Saccharomyces cerevisiae S288C: one gene and its partners. The gene in region 3 interacts genetically with the main gene of each other region. Each region holds a gene or a part of one and is shown on either strand. Other genes may lie near its edges. The genes, in order: RIM8, ELF1, SCS2 and DYN3.

Evidence for each region.
Region 1: mutations in SCS2 (region 3) and RIM8 together harm fitness more than expected from each alone (negative genetic interaction), as found in Saccharomyces cerevisiae (2 studies listed by BioGRID).
Region 2: mutations in SCS2 (region 3) and ELF1 together harm fitness more than expected from each alone (negative genetic interaction), as found in Saccharomyces cerevisiae (2 studies listed by BioGRID).
Region 4: mutations in SCS2 (region 3) and DYN3 together harm fitness more than expected from each alone (negative genetic interaction), as found in Saccharomyces cerevisiae (4 studies listed by BioGRID).

Annotation. Positions count from the first base shown.
Region 1 is NC_001139.9:411,681-416,892, reverse strand, and holds RIM8 (Rim8p), read right to left. Parts: upstream 2,792-5,212; coding exon 1,163-2,791; downstream 1-1,162. Other genes in the region: RNA15 (Rna15p), read left to right, coding at 1-747; N-acetylglucosaminyldiphosphodolichol N-acetylglucosaminyltransferase catalytic subunit ALG13, read right to left, coding at 4,733-5,212.
Region 2 is NC_001143.9:150,958-154,960, forward strand, and holds ELF1 (Elf1p), read left to right. Parts: upstream 1-2,311; coding exon 2,312-2,749; downstream 2,750-4,003. Other genes in the region: RCN1 (Rcn1p), read right to left, coding at 2,859-3,494. UniProt on the Saccharomyces cerevisiae protein: Transcription elongation factor implicated in the maintenance of proper chromatin structure in actively transcribed regions.
Region 3 is NC_001137.3:398,799-402,758, reverse strand, and holds SCS2 (phosphatidylinositol-binding protein SCS2), read right to left. Parts: upstream 1,625-3,960; coding exon 890-1,624; downstream 1-889. Other genes in the region: YER121W (uncharacterized protein), read right to left, coding at 40-384; AVT6 (aspartate/glutamate transporter), read left to right, coding at 1,917-3,263; osmosensor SHO1, read left to right, coding at 3,704-3,960. UniProt on the Saccharomyces cerevisiae protein: Acts as an endoplasmic reticulum (ER) membrane anchor for cytoplasmic proteins via binding to the FFAT motif of targeted proteins. Regulates phospholipid biosynthesis by modulating the subcellular localization of the transcriptional repressor OPI1.
Region 4 is NC_001145.3:863,912-868,306, reverse strand, and holds DYN3 (dynein light intermediate chain), read left to right. Parts: upstream 1-2,956; coding exon 2,957-3,895; downstream 3,896-4,395. Other genes in the region: ATP-binding cassette Fe/S cluster precursor transporter ATM1, read left to right, coding at 1-752; ADE4 (amidophosphoribosyltransferase), read left to right, coding at 1,216-2,748; sphingosine N-acyltransferase subunit LIP1, read right to left, coding at 4,036-4,395. UniProt on the Saccharomyces cerevisiae protein: Component of the cytoplasmic dynein which acts as a motor for the intracellular retrograde motility of vesicles and organelles along microtubules. May play an important role in the proper orientation of the mitotic spindle into the budding daughter cell yeast.

The DNA of each region.
Region 1 (5,212 bases), on a different chromosome or scaffold from region 3:
ATGATGTTCGACCCCCAAACTGGTAGGTCGAAAGGGTACGCGTTTATTGAATTTAGAGATTTAGAGTCCAGTGCCAGCGCAGTACGTAATTTGAATGGATACCAATTAGGCTCTAGGTTTTTGAAATGCGGTTACTCCAGCAATAGTGATATATCGGGAGTTTCACAACAGCAACAACAACAGTACAACAACATTAATGGGAACAATAACAACAATGGAAATAATAATAATAATAGTAATGGGCCGGACTTTCAAAACAGCGGAAATGCCAATTTTCTAAGTCAAAAGTTTCCAGAATTGCCCTCTGGTATCGACGTTAACATAAACATGACCACCCCTGCTATGATGATATCGAGCGAACTAGCTAAAAAACCGAAAGAGGTGCAGTTGAAATTTTTACAAAAATTCCAAGAATGGACAAGAGCGCATCCTGAAGATGCTGTTTCGCTATTAGAGCTGTGTCCACAGTTGAGTTTTGTTACGGCTGAATTATTGCTAACGAATGGGATATGTAAAGTGGATGATTTGATCCCGTTAGCTTCCAGGCCGCAAGAAGAGGCATCGGCTACGAATAACAATAGCGTGAACGAGGTGGTGGATCCAGCTGTGCTTAACAAACAGAAAGAACTACTGAAACAGGTGTTACAACTGAATGACAGTCAAATTTCTATCTTGCCCGATGATGAAAGGATGGCTATTTGGGACTTAAAACAAAAAGCATTAAGGGGAGAATTTGGTGCATTTTGAAACTAGGGAGGCAAAAATACAAAAAAAAAATGCGGTTCCGCAATGATGAGGCAACAATCTATCATATTTTCCACGTGAGGGAGCTCAAAGTTCGGTATATAGCTTACATCTCAATATCACAATCACTTTTTTTTTTGACGTCTTTATAAATATAGAATAACGTTTACGTTACTGCTATTTTTTCGTTTCTTATCTCAGTTTGCCTGAGGACGGCTATAGTTTTAATCATTAAACGTATATTAAGTACACATGAACATATATAAATCTCAGGTTTGTGCATGCTTCGATTTTTTTTTTCTATGTTAATGTCATGGATCATTACGTGGCTGGGATAGTGGAAATATGCAAACATGATTAAGGCGCCTAGTTCCAACACGGCGCAAGCTGCGAGTATATGACTTGTTACCTGCACTTTTTAATAGTCATCACAAGGGGGAGGATCGCTTTCTAACTGTTGTAGTCTTTTTTGTTCAAGTTCTTGTTTGTCTTCCGACGGTACACTGACTTTATCATTTGGCGAATACTTTGGAACTGGAACATCGTCACTATCATATGCATTTAATGGGGCCAACCAATCTCTTAAATTCGATGGAGAATTTTGAGGAGCCGTGATTGAGGATTGGGATGGGATGCTTGCATCAGATTGCTGCTGTTCGGATCTCGTCGTTCCTATGACGGTTTCTATGGACATACCAGTTACATTCCTCAGTCTCTTTAGCTTTTCCACATTTACCATATCTTTGAAAAATATACTGGATTCATAACCCTCAGAATCGTTCTCCAACGTTTCTGGATTGACCATACGTAGCATTTTCCTTTGGATACGGTTGATATTATTCTCTACGCCCAAGCCATTTTGTTCTCCAATAGGAGTTCCTATTATTCTATTAGATTCTGTGTAAACCACGTTTTTTTTTGATAAGTTAACCATAACCTCGATATAGTATTGGAAGGAGAAAAATTTTCCCACAGTAGTAAGGGTCGAAAATGCATCAAGGGGCACTTTCAGATAAACTCTAGATTGAAACTGCAACGTTTCAGGGTTAATATATATAGGAGAGATACTCTGACATATATCTTTTCTGAAAGTCTCCATAGGATCATCTTTGCCTGCACCGCCCACCCTACATATCCTCACCAAAGTGGTGGTGAGACCCGCAGGGGCATAGAAAGGCTTATAGTGGTCAATCTTAACGTCTATAGGGATAATTTCACCAATCATGAATCCAGCCTGCGGTATGTCTACGGATATAGTCACCGTTTTATTTGGTAAGGGGGACGTCTTGGAGTTTACTGAACTGCTAGAAGAATTAGAAGTAGTAGACTTTTGAGTTAATTGTGTATACGATGAGGATTCGTCCTCTGTAGATTTGTTCTTTTTGTTTTGGACCATAGATGCTGATTGTAAAACCACTGTCTTAGTTTTCGGCTTGGGCAGCCTCGAGACGTCCAGCGGAACTATGACTGCAAACTCACGTTCGCATCTTGCTTCCGGTTTTTTTAATCCGTTGATGTTGTTGAGGGATTCTAAAGTGCAAGAGAGGAAGTATGTTATCGAGCCCCTTTCGAACTTTATAGAGCTCAACATTCCTCTGCCTCGTGGTATTCGTATCCTAAAGGGAAACCTGTGTTCCCCCTTGCTTAAACCATTGAGAATGGTGGTTTTGTCAACATGCGGTTTCTTTTCCTTAGCCGAAAAAGCTGTCTTTACGTAGTCCTGTCCATAAAGAAACGTCGACTTCTCTAAGGTTTTCTCAATTCTCTTATTCTTGGAGGTTGGACTGTTCCCCGTTTTCACGCGAACCTCACATACTAGCGATAATTTGATCGCTACGTTAGTTATGTCTCTCTTTATGTCAATGACCGCTTCTCCGGTTATGCTTTCATTCGGTTTCCATACTCTATGCGGTTCGTCTATGTCTATACGAAATTGCTTCACGTTGTTATGGGCCAGCATGCTGTTGCCGTAACTGCCAACAATACCATGACTCTTTATTTTTGATGGTGCCCTTGATTCTTTGTTCCACAGTCTCAGTAACGACATGTTTGGTCAATGCTACCGATAGTGAGGGTGATGCTGATGATACTATACTAGCGTACTTTGGCTTTAACGTTAAAATCTTGTACGTGCGTGAGATGATGCGTATTCGGGGATGTCTATTTTCTATTTTTTTTTTTTCTTCGTCTAGATTGTTACTTTTGACTCAATAGAGCTTAGACAATAATACTATAAGGAACTTTGAAGAAGAAATCAAATGTAAGGGGAAAAGGAAAGGGTATAAGCCTAAGAAAAATGGCACCTGCAGAAATTGCTAGACAGTAGAACGTGTTTTGAAGCCAATCGTTGGGATTGGAGCGGAAAAGTCCAAGAACAAATAACGAAGAAAGAAAACAAAGAAAGGCGATTAAGTAAAGTGGTAGTAGAGCAAGTACGAGAGAAGAGGAAGAGGCTTAGACACAAAAAAATACTATGTTTATTTAAACCAGACAGATAGCAAAGGAAGAAAGAAAGGGGAAAAAGAATAGAAGAGAAGAAACTTAAAAAAGGCCAAGGAAATTCCGGTACTTGGCATTTCGTACTCTGAGTGCGTGCGACCTGCAAGCCGAATAGCGATTTTCAGATTCTCCGATTGGCTTTTTTTCTTGGCAAACGATACGATTGCGAACGATCGCGCGTTCACACGTCACACCGCAGCATAGAGCGAGTAGAACGGTGCGTGTCAGCGTGGTCGGCGTAGCCTAGCAATTGCCACTAGTTGGCGGACGTTGTAGGCGGACACGCGCTGAACTCGGCCCCGTTGTGGCTCATTCGCACAGAAGACCCGTGCGAATGGGTGGGATGACAACGTGGAGCGAGAGCAGGAACTAGGACGGATTAAGACACTCGTTGAAAGTGCTATTTGAATTTATATAATATAGTCCGAGCGGGGTCTATATCGGACTATATAATGCATTCCAACCTTGGTAAGTTGCTTAGCAACATGCTCAGCGATCTCGGAGTCCCTGCGAATAATGTAGTGCAACAGTGGCTGTGATATGAGTATACATAGAGTGCCCGTCGGCTGTAGATATAGCAATTCCGATGAAGAGCGATACGGAGTTTTTGGGCTGGCGTACTTAGAGAGCGCTAGCCTTACGAGCATAGCAAAGATGGCCACTTTTCCGTAACAATGGCGCAGAAGTTGGTTATTGGGCCCGTGGCGCAAACTTGACGGGAGAGGTTACAGACACAATATACTGCAGTTGAGCGAAAGCCGACGTGTTGTATTAAGCGCTTGAGTAAAACCGGATGTTCTTGACGATCTTAATATTGTTAGGAGAGTAATCTGCGATCGTGGCTTTGCCTGACGCACTCAATCTTGCGTGGGAAAAACCTGAATACCACTTAATAGATGATATTTTAGAGTATCATTTGAACGGTAGGTATACTGAATATATTGAAAGTCCTCCCCAGGGATACGAGAGTTCATAGAAGGAAACTAACATTTCTAAATTATATTAATGTTATTTTTTTTCTTTCATTTCTTATGTTGTCACTTATTCTATTACATTATCAATCCGTGCATTTCAGCTTCCATTAAATCTGCTGACTGTTTCTCGATCTTCACGTTCTATCCTTACATCTTATATGATATTGTAATACAGCTATGAACAATAGTCTATAGATGGTGGTCGATTCTTGATACAACAGCTGCATGACGGTTGTTGATACAATTATTTTTAGAATTTTAGTGGACTCTCATAGGACTCTTGTCCCTAAACGAAACATCAAAAAACTGGTTTCGTGGTCTAGTCGGTTATGGCATCTGCTTAACACGCAGAACGTCCCCAGTTCGATCCTGGGCGAAATCAAGTTTTATTTTTTTCTGATCAAAAACGTCTAAGGCATTACGCGGATACTGCTAACTAACCAAAGAAACCTTCCATCTTTTTTTTTGGTAGTTGTCCTACTTTCCGTTCTTTTCGTCTTTTAAAATCTTACTAACTAGCTGTATATAGTTTCAACTAGCAATCGCTCAAATGACGGGTTATGAGAAACTGGGAATGGTTTGAGTTTCTCTGTTTGAGATGCACGTAAACCAGCTATCAAACCTGTTTCAGTGGGTGCACAAGACCATACGTAGCCCAACTCTACAAACTTGTCTGCTATCTGCTGCTGGTGGTTATCCATCAAAGAATCGTTTACGCAAACTATCAACGGTTTATTCAACCGTAGAGAATCTAGTATAGAGCCCGTTCCAGCGTGTGATATGACCAAATCTGAATAATCACGTATAATACTTTGCATCTTGGTCGAAAAGTCAAACCCGATCACCTTTAATTTCCCGTTCATCAGGACATACTGTCTTGCGGTGTCGCCACAGCCAAACTGGTCAATTGGAATTTTTTGGCTTTCTCTTTGGCCCCCGCGTTCTTGCACTAAATGCTCAAATTCAGAACTGTAGTTTCTCCCAAACTGAATGAT
Region 2 (4,003 bases), on a different chromosome or scaffold from region 3:
GCTTTCATGGCATTTTCAATCAAAATACGAGTTCTTACTAATTCCTACGGTGCTTCCTGCATTGATTGATCGCGAGTTACTATTTTTAACTCGAATGGGTCTGCGCGTGTTTCTCCGGTGTTGTTCAAAATAATCTGTTTGCTGCGTTTAATAACTACAACAGTTAACGGAAACAGTGAAATTTATTGGGGACTTTCAAGTAACGAATAATCATGCTGGTAGAAATATTTCTATTTTTATAATTAACAAATCTTTTAATGACGTCTTGTGGGCTGAAAACTACGGCGTTTATTTTTTAGATAGGTTATTCCTTCGTTGGATTGAGTAAGAAAATGTCGATACTGTGTTACGTTTGCAAGGAAAAGATTTAGTTGCGATTAGCCATTCATTCTTGTGGAAACTTCTTTAAAAAGGGATGGCGATGGAGTACTTATGTCCAATTATGAAGTCAAATTTATTTTCAAACCGTTACACGTAGATTATTTTCCTGCAGTGGTAAGTATCTTTGAAGTGTTGAAAGTTTTTTGGCACATATTTTTTTGCGGATGTGGGCCTGAGTTTCCTGTTAGAAACAAAGATATGCTTAAAACTAAATAACATTGGAAATTAGGGCATAGTCTTCAATGTTATACTTAAACATCACAGCAGGAGATTGAGATGATTGAAAGAATGGTGCAAGAAATGATTCATTAACATTCTTCCAAGTTTTGCAATATTTGCAAGTATTACTATCAGACTTTAGTTGAAGTGACTATGCTATTACCAAATTTCACTGGAGCCAGAAAAATAAAGATCACTTAGAGACAAAGAAAAGTAACATCTTCAACATAAGCCGGAGCTCAAAAGTAGGAAATCGGATAAGAAACTTGATTCTGTTATTTCAAGTGATTTTTTGCTGTATCGCCCACGTTCTTGTTGTAGATGTTTTGTAGATGTGGGACCGAAAGTAAGTGAACAGTGAAGTAAACAGAATAGGATTCTAAAAAAGAGCTTATAAACTGTTCTTTAAAATTTTTTCTTTCGTGAATGTCCTCGAGCTATCTCAAAGAAAACGAAATCTTCATTCAACTTAAGTGTAGGTATTATTTGCTGTTTCATCAAATGCGGCACCAAAGTGGAAGTATTCTAGTCAGTTAGTTTTTCATTGTGAGGAATTGATATGTCGTTCTCTGATAGAACCACGCTAAGTTGGTGTTCAATTTTTTGCAATTCGGTAGTAATTATGCCTTGCAACATGTTTTATTCTTTTATAGTGTGATACCGTCAATATGATGATTTGCGGTGGAGCATGCATGTGCTTACTAGAAGTGCTGCTCTGGTGGGCATTTTAGGGACAAGAATAAATTCTTCTCTCCACTATCTGAACTTCCGTTATTCTTCTGCACGTAATTGCCGTTTTTAGGATTTTTTGGAGTTGTCACGGTATAGATATGTCTTATTGCGTGATTTCACGGTGTCTTGCACACAACATTTCCAGGTCACAATATTTGGTTCGAGGTTCCCAGCAAGAATTCATTATCCTTTTCAATGTGTCGCATTAAATCATTATCCAAAAACAAAAGAACTTAAGAAGTACAAAAGACACTTGAAGTATGCTAGCGTAAGAAATACGGTAACCAATATTTATATGTAACATGCTTATTCTGTCATGATTTCACAGTTCAAACTACATTCCTATTCAAAATCATCGCGTTAGTGAGACAAAATCGGTGGGAGAGATGTTAGACAAAAAGATGACAACATTGGAAATAAACCACGACGAAAAATACCTTTGAAAGGATCTTTTTTCGATTTTCCTGTGAATTTGTAGGCTTTTGATGGTACGAGGGTAAACCAAACTGGACGGGAAATCACCATTATTAGTCCTATGTAGAGCCTCGTCACCATACCTATATAAACATAACTATTCTTTTAAGTACTTAAACGGCTTTTTTCTGAAACAAATAGCCAATGTTTTCATAACGAAGATTCCAAAGTTACTTAACGCTCTTCAGGCACTTCCTTATTTATTATGACACGTACAAAATAATAAATTCGTAGTTATAAGATTATCTTATCATATTTAAAATATCTCTTCTTTCAGTTGAAATTGGGCCCAAAATTTTTACCCCATAGCGTTAAAATTAAACAAAAACTGCTATTTCGGTGACAAATTGTAAAAATTCTGAAAACGGAAGAAACAAAAACGTTTAAAATGATTAAACTTTGGTAAAGCAATAATCTACAAATAATTGGAAAAGGAATAGTAATAAAGATGGGGAGAATTATGAAGAAGAATGTCATAAAAAACACTGAAAACAATTAACGAGCCATGGGTAAAAGAAAGAAGTCAACAAGAAAGCCTACCAAGAGACTGGTCCAAAAATTAGATACGAAATTCAATTGTTTATTTTGTAATCATGAAAAATCAGTTTCATGCACTCTGGACAAAAAAAATAGTATAGGAACTTTATCGTGCAAGATTTGTGGGCAGTCGTTCCAAACGCGCATAAATTCATTATCACAGCCTGTTGATGTATATAGTGATTGGTTTGACGCCGTCGAAGAAGTCAATTCTGGCCGTGGAAGTGACACAGATGATGGTGACGAAGGTTCTGATAGTGATTACGAAAGTGATTCAGAGCAAGATGCTAAAACGCAAAATGATGGCGAAATAGATTCTGATGAAGAGGAGGTAGACTCGGACGAGGAGAGGATAGGCCAAGTTAAAAGAGGCAGAGGCGCCTTGGTAGATAGTGACGATGAATAATCCGGTCCTGAGAAAAAACCATATTTACTTAGGTCATATATATTTTATATTTTAAAGCAACCACCCGTAAGCATTTAAGTCTCTTAAGCCAACAAATCGCCTCGCCATCTTAATCATCGTCATCAGTATCGAATATAGATTTTGGTGGGAAAGCGGTTTTAACGTGGTCCGCTAATTGCATCTGTCCATTTCCATCGTTCGTGGGACATCTATCAATGGTAATTGCGCCCACCTTTGATTTCAATAACGTGAAAGTACCATTGTTATTTTTGTCTGGATTATTAGGCAATAGTTGGCTAGCTTCCAACCGCTGCTGCTGGTCCTGTTGTATATGACTTTGTATATGCCTTTGTGGCGCATCCTCACATTTGCTGAAATCGAATTCGGGAGGTGGTGATGCTGGGGGCGATATCAGGAACATTTTTTCACTCTCTGGTACCTTCAAGTATTGTTTAGTTAAATTCCTTTGTCCGTCTTGCAAGGAGTAGCTGAAGTTAAAATTTTCCATTTCTAAAGCACGAGACGCATCCATAACATGCTGAGATATATCATGACTGGGGCAGATCAACAGTATTCTTTTAAACCTTTTCAAAATAATCAACTGTAGTGGTTCATTTTCATTGATTTGAAACTTCCTTAAGATATTCTTGGATAGCCAAACCTGGATTCTTTCAACATTATCATTATCAACAATGTCGCACTTATCCGAGGTTATAATTATCGTATCCGTTATAATATTACCCATCTGCAGTTCTGTGTTTTATATATCGGTTGGTTTATTGCTTGATCTTTTTGGCCCTCTTTTTTTCATGGAATTACTGTATTTAAAAAGAAAACCATACTTTATATAGAAGTCATTGGGCAGAAGGGTCTTGTCAACGAGCCGCCTAGGAACTACACCTGACAGCAACTTGCGGCAAGATAGTAAGATAGCATAATTCAAAGCCTCTTGAACCTTACAGCGCCTTGCCGCGGTTTGGTAAACTTCTAAACTGTGTATGTTACACGTGAAGCGAGGCTTGGAACACCTAAGAAGAGATCCTTTTCATATTTACTATCCATCAACACTGCGCCTTTTCGTGATGATGCATTTGATAGTATGGCAGATGTGCTACGGTACTTCGATCTAATGTGCTCTTAGACAGATATGCTAAATAATTTCAATCTAATTCGTCCGCGTTGTAAATTAAGAAATCATGTAAACGTTATATCAAGAAATAACAATCGAAGGATAGTTCAAAAAATCTGACATAA
Region 3 (3,960 bases):
TGCATTGTACGTGCGTTTATTCTTATTCTTCATCCCCCCTTATCTTAGTTTAAGGTTTCTAAAATCGAAAGTTTCATGTGCGTATGAAGCGGTTGAAAATGCAGACGAGGTAGCATTTGGTTCATTAGCATTATAAACACTTTGCTTTAAAGAAGGTAAGTTATTTTCGACATCTCTGTTTCTAATTGCTTCATCGTCCACATAGGGAGAGTCTATACCCACTTTCCAAAACGAGTTCATTACTTGATTACCATATTCGTTAGAAACACTTGCATTTAAACTATCACTTGCCGCAAGGGCGTAGTAGTGCGCATCCTGTTGCATTTCTTCGCTCTTTTCCTCTGCTGGCCTTGAATTCTTGTCGTGCCAGCGCGATAAGCCCATGTTACTATATTGTCAATATGTGAGTCCCTCGTTCACTATGAGACCTAGCAAAAAACAAACTGAAAGTAGGTGGCTGTTTATGTATTCATTTATTTATGGACCTTTTAGGCGCGACCCCCTCGCAAGATCTTCGTTAATGTGCATCCAAGACCCTCCCCTCATTTAGTAGACCCCGCATTGTTATGGTTAATAACGGATAGTTATTTGCCCAAGATAGCGCCTACTACACTAGGGAAACCGAACATGAATAAATTAAACAAGTAATATGTTACAACAGTGGTATAGTTATCGATTATTCTCCTATTTAAAAAATAAAACATATAAAAAAGTTAGGAAAGTATGATCTTTTAGTTCCTTGTTCTAGTATTGTAAAGGCTACAGAAGGAAACAATAAAAAAAGATTGTAGAAAAACAAAGTAAAATAAAGACTGAAAGGAAGGAAAGGGCAAAACACACACATATATAAATATATATTTAGAATACAGCTATATCCTCAATCTCCCTATTATCTGTAGAACCATCCTAAAACCAAGATAAGGAGTGCAACCAATATGAATATACCCATGCTGGATGATTCATTTTCTGCAGGTACGGTTGCGGCTTCCTTTATCTGGTTCTGTGGGGCCGGAGTGCTGTTGGACGTTTGCTTCTCATTTTCATGAGGAACGGTTTTCTGAACGACAGGTGGGACCTCTTCTTTCTTTACTTGGACGGGAGGTTGAGTTTCCGGTTCAGCAGGGACCTCCTTTTCGTTTACCACAGCAGGCACTTCCTTTGGCTCACTGTCTTGGACTACTGGTTCAACAGTTTCCTTGTTTTCCTGTATATTTTGGTTCTGTGCTGGGTGTACATCTGGACTTATCAAATATTTGACTTTTATCTTTTTAGAGATAGCCTGTTGCTTGAACTCAGCCTCCAAGTCGGACCAAACATCTGCAACAGCCTTGCCATTGAGGTCGTAAGGAGAAGGCAACGTGATAACCAGGAACTTGTCACGGCACTTAAAGTCTGCGGCAGGCTCTTCAGTCAAACCCAGGAAGATAACTTGAACCTGGATTGTTTCACCTGGAGCAACAACTGCGGCGTTTGGTCTCACGCAGTAAAACTTTGGGGCTGTGGTCTTGACCTTAAATGCAATGGTTTGGTCTGAATTGTTGGAAATACTAGCGTATTCTGTCGATTGCTCCGTTAATGGAGACTTATACACCAACACGTCAGGGGAAATTTCAACAGCAGACATACTTAGGTTCGCGGAGATTGTAGAATACCCTTCTGCTACACTATTAACACAGAATGTGCGTCAAACCACACCACACAATAAACAATGCACTTTGCTACTAAAACCATTCTATTCACCTTGCGAAAACAACAAGCGAAAAAAAAAAAGCGAGGGCGAAAGAGTAAGATCACCACGCACGTTTAGGGGATCGGAGAGCTTATCTATACAGCAACTAGAAGTATATAGAACAACAATGGTCGAACGACGGGTTAGTTTCACAGCTCAATAACCATAGAAAGGAATCGTGCATCATATGGTAGCTAGTATTAGATCAGGTGTGCTGACACTTTTACACACGGCGTGCGGTGCTGGTATCCTGGCCATGCCGTACGCATTCAAGCCGTTTGGATTAATTCCTGGAGTGATAATGATAGTGCTGTGTGGGGCGTGCGCTATGCAAAGCTTGTTCATACAAGCTCGTGTAGCTAAATACGTACCACAGGGGAGGGCCTCGTTCAGTGCTCTGACGCGGTTGATTAACCCAAATCTAGGTATTGTGTTTGACCTAGCGATCGCTATCAAGTGTTTTGGTGTGGGCGTCTCTTATATGATTGTAGTTGGGGATCTGATGCCCCAAATAATGTCTGTGTGGACCAGAAATGCTTGGCTGTTGAACAGGAACGTGCAAATTTCACTGATCATGCTTTTTTTCGTGGCCCCGCTGTCTTTTCTGAAGAAGTTGAATTCGTTGAGGTACGCTTCCATGGTGGCCATCTCTTCTGTAGCGTACTTGTGTGTTTTGGTGTTGTTGCACTATGTAGCACCATCAGATGAGATTCTTCGCTTGAAAGGCCGGATCTCCTACCTCCTGCCACCACAATCGCATGATTTGAACGTGCTAAACACTCTTCCAATTTTTGTCTTTGCCTACACATGTCACCACAATATGTTTTCAATAATCAATGAGCAGAGGTCAAGCCGGTTCGAGCATGTGATGAAGATTCCACTGATAGCAATATCTTTGGCTCTCATCTTATATATTGCGATCGGCTGTGCTGGATACCTGACATTCGGCGACAACATCATTGGAAACATTATCATGCTGTACCCGCAAGCGGTCTCGAGCACCATCGGCAGAATAGCGATTGTGTTGTTGGTGATGCTGGCGTTCCCACTACAGTGTCATCCTGCAAGAGCTTCAATCCATCAGATTTTGCAACACTTCGCCGAGGAAAATGTAAGTATAAGTGCTACATCGGCGGATGAACCCACTGTTGCTACCGAAAGTTCTCCGTTGATTCGCGACAGTAGCCTTGACCTCAATGAGGTAATTGAAGAAGAATCTATTTATCAGCCTAAGGAGACTCCATTGAGAGGCAAGAGCTTTATTGTTATAACGTGCAGCATTTTAGTTGCATCATATCTTGTCGCCATTTCGGTTTCCTCCTTGGCCCGTGTACTGGCCATTGTTGGGGCCACAGGCTCCACTTCTATTTCTTTCATTCTGCCCGGGCTCTTTGGCTACAAGCTTATAGGAACTGAGCACAAGACAGCCGTGCCATTGACGACAAAGATTTTCAAATACACAGGTCTTCTCTTGTTTATCTGGGGGCTAATAATCATGATCACCTGCCTGACCGCAGCTTTGAAGCTAAACTAAATAAGCAAGAGTATACTCATTCTTTTTTTGCTATTCCTCCATACGTACATAGACCCTTGAACCTACATATCCGCGTAAGAAACTATTAATAACCTAGCACCTGCGTTAAATCAGAAATTCTTAATCGCGTTTTACATTCCCAACGCGTTCAATCTATTTACACACAACAGCTTTCGGAGTCGGGCTTTTGCTTCATACGTATTATAAAAATTTCAGCGATTGCTGAAATATGCAAAGAACACAGGAACACGAATAAAGTCATTGAGCCTCGTTTTCAGTGAGGTATCATTGTCTATCATATCAGCTTTCTTTGCTCAACAGAATCGCTAAAAGAAAGGGCGTGTTATTAACAGTAGCCAACCCAATAATTTGAAAACAACATTGGACATTATAGATCAACGCCATCTTTTCAGAAACACCAAAAATCACGTTTTCAAAATATGTCAATATCATCAAAGATAAGACCAACTCCTCGTAAACCTTCACGTATGGCTACCGACCATTCTTTTAAAATGAAAAAATTTTATGCCGATCCTTTCGCTATATCATCAATTTCTTTGGCAATTGTATCGTGGGTCATCGCCATCGGGGGCTCCATCTCATCTGCATCCACCAATGAATCCTTCCCACGTTTTACTTGGTGGGGTATAGTATACCAATTTCTAATTATTTGTTCTTTAATGCTGTTCTATTGTTT
Region 4 (4,395 bases), on a different chromosome or scaffold from region 3:
TCACGTTTGGATATCATCCCGATAGGAAAATTTTAAAGAATGCCAGCTTTACCATCCCAGCAGGCTGGAAAACCGCAATAGTTGGGTCTTCGGGCAGTGGGAAGTCCACCATTTTAAAATTAGTCTTTAGATTTTATGATCCTGAAAGCGGAAGGATCCTCATAAACGGTAGAGATATTAAAGAATATGACATCGATGCCTTGAGGAAGGTGATTGGTGTGGTACCACAGGACACACCACTTTTCAATGACACTATCTGGGAAAATGTAAAGTTCGGTCGTATTGACGCAACCGACGAGGAAGTGATAACTGTAGTTGAAAAAGCCCAGCTAGCACCCTTAATCAAGAAATTACCACAAGGTTTTGACACCATCGTCGGGGAGCGAGGGTTGATGATCAGCGGTGGTGAAAAGCAAAGGCTGGCAATTGCAAGGGTACTATTGAAGAATGCAAGGATCATGTTTTTTGACGAGGCCACAAGCGCCTTGGACACACACACAGAACAAGCTCTCTTACGAACCATTAGAGATAACTTTACTTCGGGTTCGAGAACGAGTGTATACATCGCACATAGACTGAGGACAATTGCAGATGCAGACAAGATCATAGTCCTTGACAACGGAAGAGTAAGAGAGGAAGGTAAGCATCTTGAACTGTTGGCTATGCCAGGGTCATTGTACCGCGAACTTTGGACCATACAAGAAGATCTGGATCATTTAGAGAATGAACTAAAAGACCAGCAAGAACTATGAACGCTCGTAAGTAAATATTGATTTATACATGTATAAGTTTTTCAAGATTTAAGGAAAAAAGAAAAGTTATTATCTTTCTCCGCGGTTTTTCAATGACCCGATGTATTGACTCTTCCTGACCGAAAATAACAGGACAGAGTTAGAACGAACATGAATAATAAAATATAATCTGGGATCATGAATCCGAATGACTGCTCATGCGGCAAATGTCAGAGCTTCGGTGTATTTAAAGTTTGCTTACTTACAATTTCAATAATAGGTTTGTACTTTTCAGATTCTTATTATTAAGTCAAGGTAAAGTCCTTCGTTTTTTTTTTTTTCATTTTAGAAAAATTTCAACAGCCACCGTACAATTTTATTCACTTTTAAGTCATAGTTGCGAAGACATCGTCTTGAAAGTAGTAGATTTCGTTCTAATAAGTTTAGCAAAGAAAGAGGTACAGCAAACAGCAGAATAGAAAAAATGTGTGGTATTTTAGGTATTGTATTAGCAAACCAAACCACTCCAGTAGCTCCGGAGTTATGTGATGGATGCATTTTTCTACAACATCGTGGACAAGATGCAGCTGGTATAGCTACCTGTGGTTCTCGTGGTAGAATCTACCAATGTAAAGGTAATGGTATGGCTCGTGACGTATTTACCCAACAACGTGTTTCCGGTCTTGCTGGTTCCATGGGTATTGCCCACTTGAGATATCCTACAGCCGGGTCTTCGGCTAATTCAGAAGCGCAACCATTTTACGTCAATAGTCCTTACGGTATTAACTTGGCACATAACGGTAACTTGGTGAATACTGCATCATTGAAGAGATATATGGATGAAGACGTTCATAGACATATTAACACGGACAGTGATTCGGAGTTACTATTGAATATTTTTGCTGCTGAACTGGAAAAACATAACAAGTACAGAGTTAACAATGAAGATGTTTTCCACGCGTTAGAAGGTGTTTACCGTTTATGCCGTGGCGGTTATGCTTGCGTTGGTTTACTTGCCGGTTTTGCATTATTTGGTTTCAGAGATCCAAATGGTATTAGGCCATTATTGTTCGGTGAAAGAGAAAATCCGGACGGCACTAAGGACTATATGTTAGCTTCAGAAAGTGTTGTTTTCAAAGCTCACAACTTTACTAAATATCGTGACTTAAAGCCTGGCGAGGCAGTTATCATCCCTAAGAACTGTAGCAAAGGTGAACCTGAGTTCAAACAAGTGGTTCCTATTAACTCTTATAGACCTGATTTATTTGAATACGTATATTTCGCCAGACCGGACAGTGTCTTGGATGGAATATCAGTTTATCACACAAGATTGGCTATGGGTTCTAAATTAGCGGAAAATATTCTAAAGCAACTGAAGCCAGAAGATATTGATGTTGTTATTCCCGTCCCAGATACTGCAAGAACATGTGCACTAGAATGTGCTAATGTGTTAGGGAAGCCTTATAGAGAGGGCTTTGTTAAAAACAGATACGTGGGCAGGACATTTATCATGCCAAACCAGAGGGAAAGGGTTTCTTCAGTAAGGAGGAAGCTTAACCCTATGGAGTCTGAATTTAAGGGTAAGAAGGTTCTGATAGTGGATGATTCTATTGTCAGAGGTACTACTTCAAAAGAGATTGTTAACATGGCCAAGGAATCCGGTGCAACAAAGGTTTACTTCGCTTCAGCTGCCCCAGCCATTCGTTACAACCATATTTATGGTATTGACTTAACAGACACAAAGAACTTGATTGCTTATAACAGAACCGATGAAGAAGTGGCGGAAGTAATCGGTTGTGAAAGAGTCATTTACCAATCATTGGAAGATTTGATTGATTGTTGTAAAACTGATAAAATAACCAAATTCGAAGATGGTGTATTTACCGGAAATTATGTCACTGGTGTTGAAGACGGTTATATTCAAGAATTGGAAGAAAAACGTGAATCGATCGCAAATAATTCATCAGATATGAAGGCTGAAGTCGATATCGGATTATATAATTGTGCAGATTATTGATAGATTGTTCCGAACTTGTTCAGTTGTATGTAAAATAGTTTCCAAATGCGCCCATTTATACATAATTATCTTTGTATTCTGACCTAAACTAAATATATATATATATATGCACGTATTAAAAAAAAAAATAAAAGCAAAAAGGTAAACAAAGAGAAGTAATCCGCAACTTGTACAAAAAGAAAAGAAGATAAAAGAATTGTATGTATTAATGGATAATTGTAATGCCTGGGACAAATTATTGTCTCAGAATGAATCCACAATCAACAGCACAGAGACTGCTACGATAACAGCAATCATATATTCCCCATCAAGTAAAACACTGCATCAATTTATAAATATCTGTTTTCCAGAGGGAAGCAATTCAATACTGGATACCACTTTGATTAATTACGCCACCATAGGATGGACCAACGACTTAAAGGAAAATTATTCTGTCGATGTTTACACGCTAATAAGAAACACTGACGATGCACTAGATCTTCTAAAGCCGTTTTTACAAGAACATAGTTCGAAGGTTCGCTGGCTCATATTATTAGATTGGACACTGAACGACCAAAAGTTGTGGCTGAATGAACTATCCTACGCATTCAATAAAATTAAGCAACTGAATGACGATAATGAATTTTCTGTATGGTGCTTAAACAGTGGCGAAATATTAAACTTACAAAGACACACTACAGTATGGCAGTCAGTACATATTGACTTCATTTTGCAAACGTTAAGATCGTTTTGCTATTTTAATGATAGCTCACTATTCTATATATGCGAAGACCATACCGAAGAGAAACGAGAGGAAGCACAAAGGCTTAAATACCAAGAGCTTCTAAAGCATTTTTGTGAAGATAGAGATATGAAAGATCATATTGAAATGGTCAAACGCAGTGAGATATTAATACCGAAGGGGTGCGATTCTATTGGATTGATAAAAACAGTAGACGAAAGATTTGAGCCTACTGAGGTGAAAGAGCAACACTTTTTGGCCCGATATATGGACTTTATACCAACAATTGATAAAATCAGAGAAGATAGGAAAACAACCTCTGGTATCGACCTTGATAAACTATATCCTTTAGAAGTTTTCAAAGTTAATATTCAAGAGGAATTAGGCAAAATGTTCGCAAAATATAGGGAAAATTCGAGGATTTAGGAAAGTGGGCAGGCGATACTTCTTTTATCATGAGCAATTTTTTTCTCTTTATATGTATAAATATAGATATGCACACGCATTTATAAATCCCTATATCAGGGTTGGATTTCTTCTATGTTTATGTATGTAAAAGAAAGAATTCACATGTGATAAATTGTGGAATCAGCACATAGTTCTTGAACCAGCTCAGAGTCTGTGTCGTACCCGACATAAGCTACGTAGCCAGGTTCACCTTTATCTTCGTGAATTGGGTAGTGGACGGGTGGAACATTATCATTCTCGATGATACAGAACGAGAGATGTTCATCATTTGGTTCATAATCTCTAGTGATTCTCTTTACTATAGTTTTATATTCGCCTCTTTTGTCACAACTTGGCCCACCACGTGCCCAAAGCTTGATTACTGAGCCAGACTGGGGTTCTTTGATTGGGGTACAATGGAACCATTCATAGTTAATTCTTGTACCATACTTGAAGTATTCAACCGCAGCGATCAGCAA